2 linked regions of the Nothobranchius furzeri genome follow. The protein of the gene in region 1 purifies or fractionates together with the protein of each later gene. This does not show direct contact. Links are inferred from orthologs where the notes say so. Each region holds a gene or a part of one and is shown on either strand. Other genes may lie near its edges.

Evidence for each region.
Region 2: the proteins of vapal (region 1) and vdac1 fractionate together in Homo sapiens (co-fractionation; 3 studies listed by BioGRID and IntAct, with this or other methods). This does not show direct contact. The link is inferred for Nothobranchius furzeri from reciprocal best matches to the Homo sapiens genes VAPA and VDAC1.

What each region holds. Positions count from the first base shown.
Region 1 is NC_091751.1:42,874,867-42,878,632, forward strand, and holds part of vapal (VAMP (vesicle-associated membrane protein)-associated protein A, like), read left to right. Parts: intron 1-1,621; coding exon 1,622-1,774; intron 1,775-3,766. UniProt on the Homo sapiens protein: Endoplasmic reticulum (ER)-anchored protein that mediates the formation of contact sites between the ER and endosomes via interaction with FFAT motif-containing proteins such as STARD3 or WDR44.
Region 2 is NC_091750.1:59,850,984-59,854,749, reverse strand, and holds part of vdac1 (non-selective voltage-gated ion channel VDAC1), read left to right. Parts: intron 1-901; coding exon 902-1,054; intron 1,055-1,167; coding exon 1,168-1,220; intron 1,221-1,338; coding exon 1,339-1,566; intron 1,567-2,569; coding exon 2,570-2,720; intron 2,721-3,445; coding exon 3,446-3,503; intron 3,504-3,766. UniProt on the Homo sapiens protein: Non-selective voltage-gated ion channel that mediates the transport of anions and cations through the mitochondrion outer membrane and plasma membrane.

The DNA of each region.
Region 1 (3,766 bases):
CCGCGGCAAATCCCGTTTTGAAAACGCTATGGTCCTATAAAAACAGATGGAGAGCAGAACTGCTTCCCAAATAGGAATCTTGTACATGTTGCTTTCTTCCGTTGAGTGTTTTTTTGTCAAGAAATCGCAATTATACACTATTTTAGAGGAAAGCGCAAAAACAGAGATTCTAAAAACTGCTGCAGAATAAATAAAAAATGTTGAATAAGACCTGAGTTTATAGTGATTTCTGATTAAAGGCTGTTTTTCAGTTTGTTTAATTTATTACAGAAAAAAGTAGAACATCCATTTTCTCTTCCTGATTCAGTAATGATGGGGAAGCTGGGCGGAAAGGTCTGATGGGCCAGGTGTGGCCCGCGGGCCACCAGTTGATGTCCACAGCTCTAGACAAATCATATTTTCTCTTTATGTTCACACTGGATTAAAAGATCTGCAAGGTTTGCATAAATAAACCTGGCCTATTTATCTTTCTATGCACCGTTGCACAGGAGGACGATGCTCTGGGTTTACTACAAAGTGAATAATGGTTTCATTTAATCTAATATTACTGTTTTCATTTGATATAAAATTGGATTAGAAATAATTTATCACCCTGCCTGATTTTTTTTTAGTAAACAAGTAGAAGTTTATGAGGATTGCAAAAACTGGGATTAGTTATTAATAAATGTGCCTGATCTTAATGTTTTAATATTCTTATTCTAGAGGCTGGTCAGTTTACAGAAATTCTGTCATTATTTTGCTATAAAAAATAAACTTTTGAACCATTTTAAAGAATTCCAGCGTCATGAGACATGTTCTGACTCCCAGGCTAATTGTTTACTTGAAGTTGAAGGTGCGTCTGACTTGGCAGCAGGTTTTGTTTTTGACATGGCATAGACGATCAAAGCTGCTAGTGCTGACCACAGCTAAGGACTTAATTTGAAGCCAGGCCCGTCACAAGGTGGATACCTGTTATGCAACCACCGCTCTCCTGATGTATGACCTGACTTGGAAAGGCCTTGATATCATCATGGGACCTCTATATGAAATTATCTGTCTGGAAGTAAGCATAATCAATTCAGGTGGTTTGTTGGTTTGCTTCTGGAAACTGATGCAGGGATAAGTCTTAAAGGTTTTTGTGCATCTCAAATTTTACATAGTAATATTCTTTAACTTTATGTCATAGCTTTTAATGTAATTGTTTAATCTAGGCAGAGCTTAGCTTTTTTTGTTAGCTATAGAGGTTAGAGTTGTCCTGAGAAGTTGCTTTCCAACCCACCATTCAATTAGGTTTTCAATCACAGTTCAAATTGAATTGCCCTTTACTGTTTCTCTACTGATCTTTTCAAAGCCTAAAGTCTTCATTAAATCTCAGCTACAAACATCACAGACCTGCTGTTTTTCCTAGGAGGGTGGTGCATCCACAGATGTTGAGTTTCTACGGTTTTGACTTTAGTAATATACAATACACCGGTCATTCATTTGGTTCGCCTTTTACATGTGACACAAATCAAAGAAAATTGTTTATTCTTTAGTGATTTATGTAACAGATTGTTTTAGTTTTCAGGGATGTTTTTTACTCGGTCTTCCACAGTGTGCTTAAACAGTGATGCCCTTGTGTTCGCTGTTTTCTGTGCACCAGGTCCTTTTACAGATGTAGTTACCAGTAACCTCAAATTGAAGAATCCCTCTGAGAGAAGAGTGTGTTTCAAAGTCAAGACAACAGCTCCACGAAGGTACTGCGTACGGCCAAATAGTGGAGTCATCGATGCTGGTGCAACCGTCAACATCTCTGGTAAGCTTTTTACAGCTGTTTTAGCTTTTGTTATCTTGATCGCATAAAACTAGGGCTGCAGCTATCGAATATTTTTGTAATCGAGTACTCTATCAAATCTTTTTTTCGATTAATCGAGTACTCTAATAAATTACCCTTTTGTGTTTGTAAACCATTATATCAAATAACATGTTATAATTATGAAAGACCTCTTAAAATGAGCACGCAATTGCCAGTTATTCTTCAAGTTTTATTCAAAATTAGTTTGCAAAACTTCAGCACTTCAACTTTACTTCACAGTAAACAAATGTCTGTGCAAAACATAAGTAAACAACCTGAGCCGATTTCCCCCTCATGCGAGAATCTGCTAGCCTGCAAGCCAGACAAAAACTAGGAGAATAACTGTTGAAGTAGCGCTGCGAGCGGCTGTGGCCCAAACAGAACCAGAACCGCTCACGGCGCTTGCGCAAACAGCTCGCCAGCTGTTTCCCTATTAACACACGTCCGTTTTAATTTCTACACTTTTTTTCTCACACAATAACAAGGATTGTCGAGAAAGCATGTTTGCCGTGGTTATGTCCAATTACACAGATCACAAAACATTTATTTACTTTCTTGTTTTCCTCCGCCACTCATAAATACCCGTGTCCCTGCAGCAACCCCGAGGGACAACAAATATCAATAACAACACAGTAAAAAGTCCGACGTGTTGTGTAAAAACTGCTATTTTTAGCACATTTTAAGTCCGGCGTGTTGCTAGCAGACGTACGGTGTGAGCTGAAACTGAGCGCTACAAACGAAAAAGTCGCACAGTGTCCGCAGAATATATAGAAATTAGGGCTGGGGGTAAACGATTATTTTTAAAACGATTATTCTGACGATTATTTTATCGAATAGTCGACTATTCTAATGACTATTTATACAATTAATCTAATGATTATTTTTCTATTGCACAGTTAATAAAAACCAAAAAATCTCTAATAAATTCCTCCAAAAAATTGATTAATTGTTACTGTAAGAGAATAAACACTACAGGCCTCCCATTTTGTATAACACTGCTTTTATTGTGTTGGTTGGTTATGTTCTGGTGACGTGTAGAACTTGGGAGTACAGGCTGCTGCCTGAGAGGTGGTTGGAGACGGAGTGTCTCCATGCTGCTTCGTCTTGGTCACTTATGTGCGTGAGGCGAGTGGTGTTACGACTCTTCCTGGGGAGTTTGGCTCGTGTGCAAAAAGGAAGGGACAATAATATGGGATTTAAAAGTTAAAATGATGATCGGGTTTATTTACAACTACAAAAAACCAAATCTTTCCATCCACAGGTTGGGAGTAATAAAACTAATTCTGCCTGTGGGGAATTAAAACAAAAGTACAGATAACTAGGGATGTCCCACTGTGCAAAGATTACAGGGTTTTGGACCAAAATAAGAATCTCCAAAGTTCCAAACTCTAAACTGGGCGGTTAAACCAACCTCAAGGTGATATTTTAAACTAAACCGAAAACCCAAAACACTCTAAATGTAACAAAAGGGAGATTTTATTACATTTAGACATTTATTAATTTGTACCACAAATTATTATTTTTTATATGTGTTCAACATGTTTAAATATCGCTTGTTTAATTAACCAACATTTCTAGTGTACAGCGCCTTGTTTGGTTGTAATGCCTTGTGAATGCGCTTTATAAATAAAATTGGATTGGATTGGATTGTAAAAAGATGAACTCTAAACCAAAACGTAACAGCTTATCCAAACGCAAGAAGCTGTTAGCGAAAATGCTAACAGTAGCTTTACCAACGTTAAGTTGCCAAGTTTAAATAAACCAAAAACACCCAGCAGCAAACAGACCAGCTCGGAGGAGAGACTGCTACCACCAAAACAGCTCTCCTAATGTCTGAAAGAAGCTCCTTTATGAAGGGAGAAACGCTCCCGGTGATTTTCTACATCTGCTATAGAGACGGAGCAGCGCATTTGACCCCGGAAGTTGTTGTCCGTTGCCGGGAAACGAAGGCGG
Region 2 (3,766 bases), on another chromosome or scaffold:
CCTCCATCAGATTTGTGCCTCTTCTAGTGTCATTTTAAAGGATTTTATTTATTTATTTATTTAACCGTTACTAGATTAGCAGCAACAGAAATGCTACTAAAAACACACAATTATGTGAAGCTGGAAAAATTAAAATGCTGTGCAAAATTACATTCATTTCTGTAATTTAACTAGACTGAGAGACCATTTAAAGGCCTGGGAACCTTTACAGGTGTTTCTATTTGCAATTTTAAATTTTAGCTGATTGGGGTCTTGTTAAATATCACACCGTGACCTTTTATTAGTCTAGATAAGTGTAATGTTCCTATTTGTAGTTCCTCCTGTTAAGTGCCTATTTAAATTATTCAGGTTTATAAAAAACATTTAGACATACATTTTATTATGTTCCAGTCATTAGTCATTTATATTTCACTATTGTAGCAATTTATAGTAAATTAAGTTCAATTAACCCATTTTTCTTGCATCCTTTAATGAAAAAAGTAACTAAGTAGTTATTTTTCTTGGTAATTAGTTACTTTTATAATCTCTTAACTCAGTAACTGAGTTACTTTTTTGACAAAGTAATTAGTAACTAAAACTAATTACTTTTTAAAAGTACCTTTCCTAACACTGGTTAATTGCATTTTAACTACAAACCTTTGAAATAACAAAACAAATATGTCTGTATAATCTTAGTACTGCACGTTTGATGTCAAATGAAAATGTCATTGCACATTAGTGGTTCTAGACATCTGAAATTAAAGCGTTGGCCTTTTTTATTTTTAGTAACTTCTTTATTCCCAGCTAATTTAATATCTTATTTTAATGCTTTGGTTGAGAAACAGTAACAGGAGGTTTTGACTTTTTAAGCACTGAGCTTGTAGGTATTTGTGCAGGAATGATGGGTTATCATGTTCTGCAGGAGTTTGCCAGCGCATGCTCTGCCAACACTGAGACAAGCAAGGTCGGCGGGTCGTTGGAGACCAAATACAAGTGGTCTGAGCATGGACTCACCTTCACAGAGAAATGGAACACGGACAACACTCTGGGGACGGAGATCACCGTTGAGGACCAGGTGATGTGGTGAAAATGGATTAGGAGTTTCCAAACAGTGATTTGTATTATAGTTTTTCTGTCTACACTGTGGCACATTCTCAGTTTTGGCTTCATTTCCTGTTTGTCCGACAGTTGACTAAAGGGCTGAAGCTTACGTTTGAGTCCTCTTTCTCTCCAAATACTGGGTAATGACTTTAGTCACAACTATTCTAACGGCGAATCCATCCTTTAAGTACATTATCATGAAGGGTTGAGTTATTATTTATTTATTTTTGTTCTTTTGTACCCCAAACATGCCACCAGCAAGAAAGGTGGCAAGTTCAAGACAGGCTACAAGTGTGAACACATCAACCTGGGCTGCGACGTCAACTATGACATTAACGGTACAGCCATTCACGGCGCTGGCGTGATATGCTACGAGGGCTGGCTCGCCGGTTACCAGACGACCTTTGAGGCCGGCAGGAACAAGATCACCCAGAGCAACTTTGCTGTTGGATACAAGACCGATGAGTTCCAGCTGCATACAAATGTGTAAGATGCAGCATGTTCAACCACCAGCACACGTGTGCACAATACATAATGCATTTTTAAACTGCATACAGGCTTTTCTATAACTTTGGTTTGAAGTTTCTCCTTGCTGCCCGTTCAGCTTTCTGTCAAATGCCAGGGTTTTTTACTCTTCATAGTGATGATAGGAGATAGAAGTGGTTTGCTGTGAAAGGACAGAGGGGTGTGGTGTCAGACAGGGAGCGGAACGGATTGGGGCTTGTTCCTGCTGTGCCCCCCAGGTAAAGCCTGTCAGTTACAGTCTGCAGCAGAAGCGGTAATGTGAGGTCAGACAAAGGTTAACGTAGGCTTTTCATGAGGCTGAACACTTCAGTTGGATGTGCCATCACTGATGGAAGCAGGACCGATATGCACATTCTAAGATTTTGGAGCTTCATATTAGGGATGTAAGAGAATATCGATATGGCAATATATCGTGATATTTTCCCAGCAATATTATATCGATATTCAAAAGCAGTGTATTGGAAATATCGATATGGCAATATATCGTGATATTTTTTCCTGCGATTATTACATCGATATTCAAAAGCCGTGTATCTAATTCCTGAAAGAATTTACATGCAAACATTTGTGTATTTTCTTTTCGTTTTGCGCAATTCAATCGCCAACTGCTAGTTGGCAGCAGTGTGCAGCGGGTTTTGTTTCCACCATTGAAATGTAAATCCCTCCATCATGGTTTAGATACCTCATGTTAAACATGTTACGTATCAGTTTGAACTGTTTATTGAACATTCTTACAATAAGTTCAGTAAAAATAATTGCTTGTAACGTTTGACTGAATGTATCGCAATATATCGTGATATATCGTATAATTTCCCCTGTATCGTGATATGTATCGTATCGCCAGAATTTCAAAAACACACATCCCTACTTCATATATATATTTTTTAAGCTTGCATGATCATTCCAAATAACATATCTGTATCATAATCTAATAACATTAGTCACAAACGGCTGTGTTTCACAGAAATGATGGCACAGAGTTTGGTGGTTCCATCTACCAGAAGGTGAATGAAAAGCTGGAGACAGCTGTGAACCTGGCCTGGACTGCTGGAAACAGCAACACCCGCTTTGGAATTGCTGCCAAGTATCAAATCGATCCCGATGCATCTTTCTCCGTGAGTAGCCTGTCTTTGAAGTGGCAGTAGCAATGGCGATGCAGTCCACCCCTAACCCTATTAACAAGTTGAATTAAAGTGCACCACAGTTTGTAGGTCTAGTGGTGTCTGGGTCCCATGCTGGGTGAGACGACTGTAAGCTTCAACTTCATTCAAGTAAAACAGCCCTTTGCTAATTTTGGCCTGTTCATCACATTAGTGGTAAATCCCCCTTGTAGCCAAGCCCATTAGTGTGACTGGTTGATTACTGGGGCCGTATTGGACTGACGTTGTATTCGTTTTTATCTGTTTACTGGTATTAATTCAAATTGCAACTAAATAATAGAAATTAATGAAAATATTTTAATAAATGTAGGAATTAGAGCTGTAGCTCTCTTAAAGCCTTTCACGTTTTAATCAAAGTTCTTTACAAACAGATGATTTTTTTAACTGTTTTGAAAGAAGATAAGAAGCTTTAGAATATATTTAATGTTGGCATTTACATAAAAAATCTGTTTTTAGCCCAAAACATTCTTTAAAAGAAGCTTTTAGGTGATAAATGTCATCACCATTGTGGAAAAACATAAAAAAAAATTGCCAGCAGTTCTCATGGAATAAAGTGTTGAAAGCCTGGTGTAGCATGATGTCAGAGGAAGCCCTTTGCTTGGTGACATCTATGGGATCCAGGCTTTAGGCCATCATGGCCTTCAGTAGATTCTCTACTTTAATGATCAATCTTTTCACAGGCTAAGGTGAACAACTCCAGCCTTGTGGGACTGGGCTACACTCAGACTCTGAAGCCAGGTGAGTTGGTCATTTAAAGACAATACGCCTAAATGCACTGAGTTCACACCGATCAATGTTTTATTGTAGGGATGCACCTATATGACAGTTTAGGCTACAATCATACTGATATTATTTCCAGTACCGGAAGTTGAGGGAAGATTTGCAGAAATTTTCTGACATACACGATTTCCACTTGACCGGGCCGGCTGAACGGCCCTTTTCAGGAACTTTCAGAGTCCCTGATCAGGGTAGGTACTCGGAATGGCCTGGTGGAGTTGCTG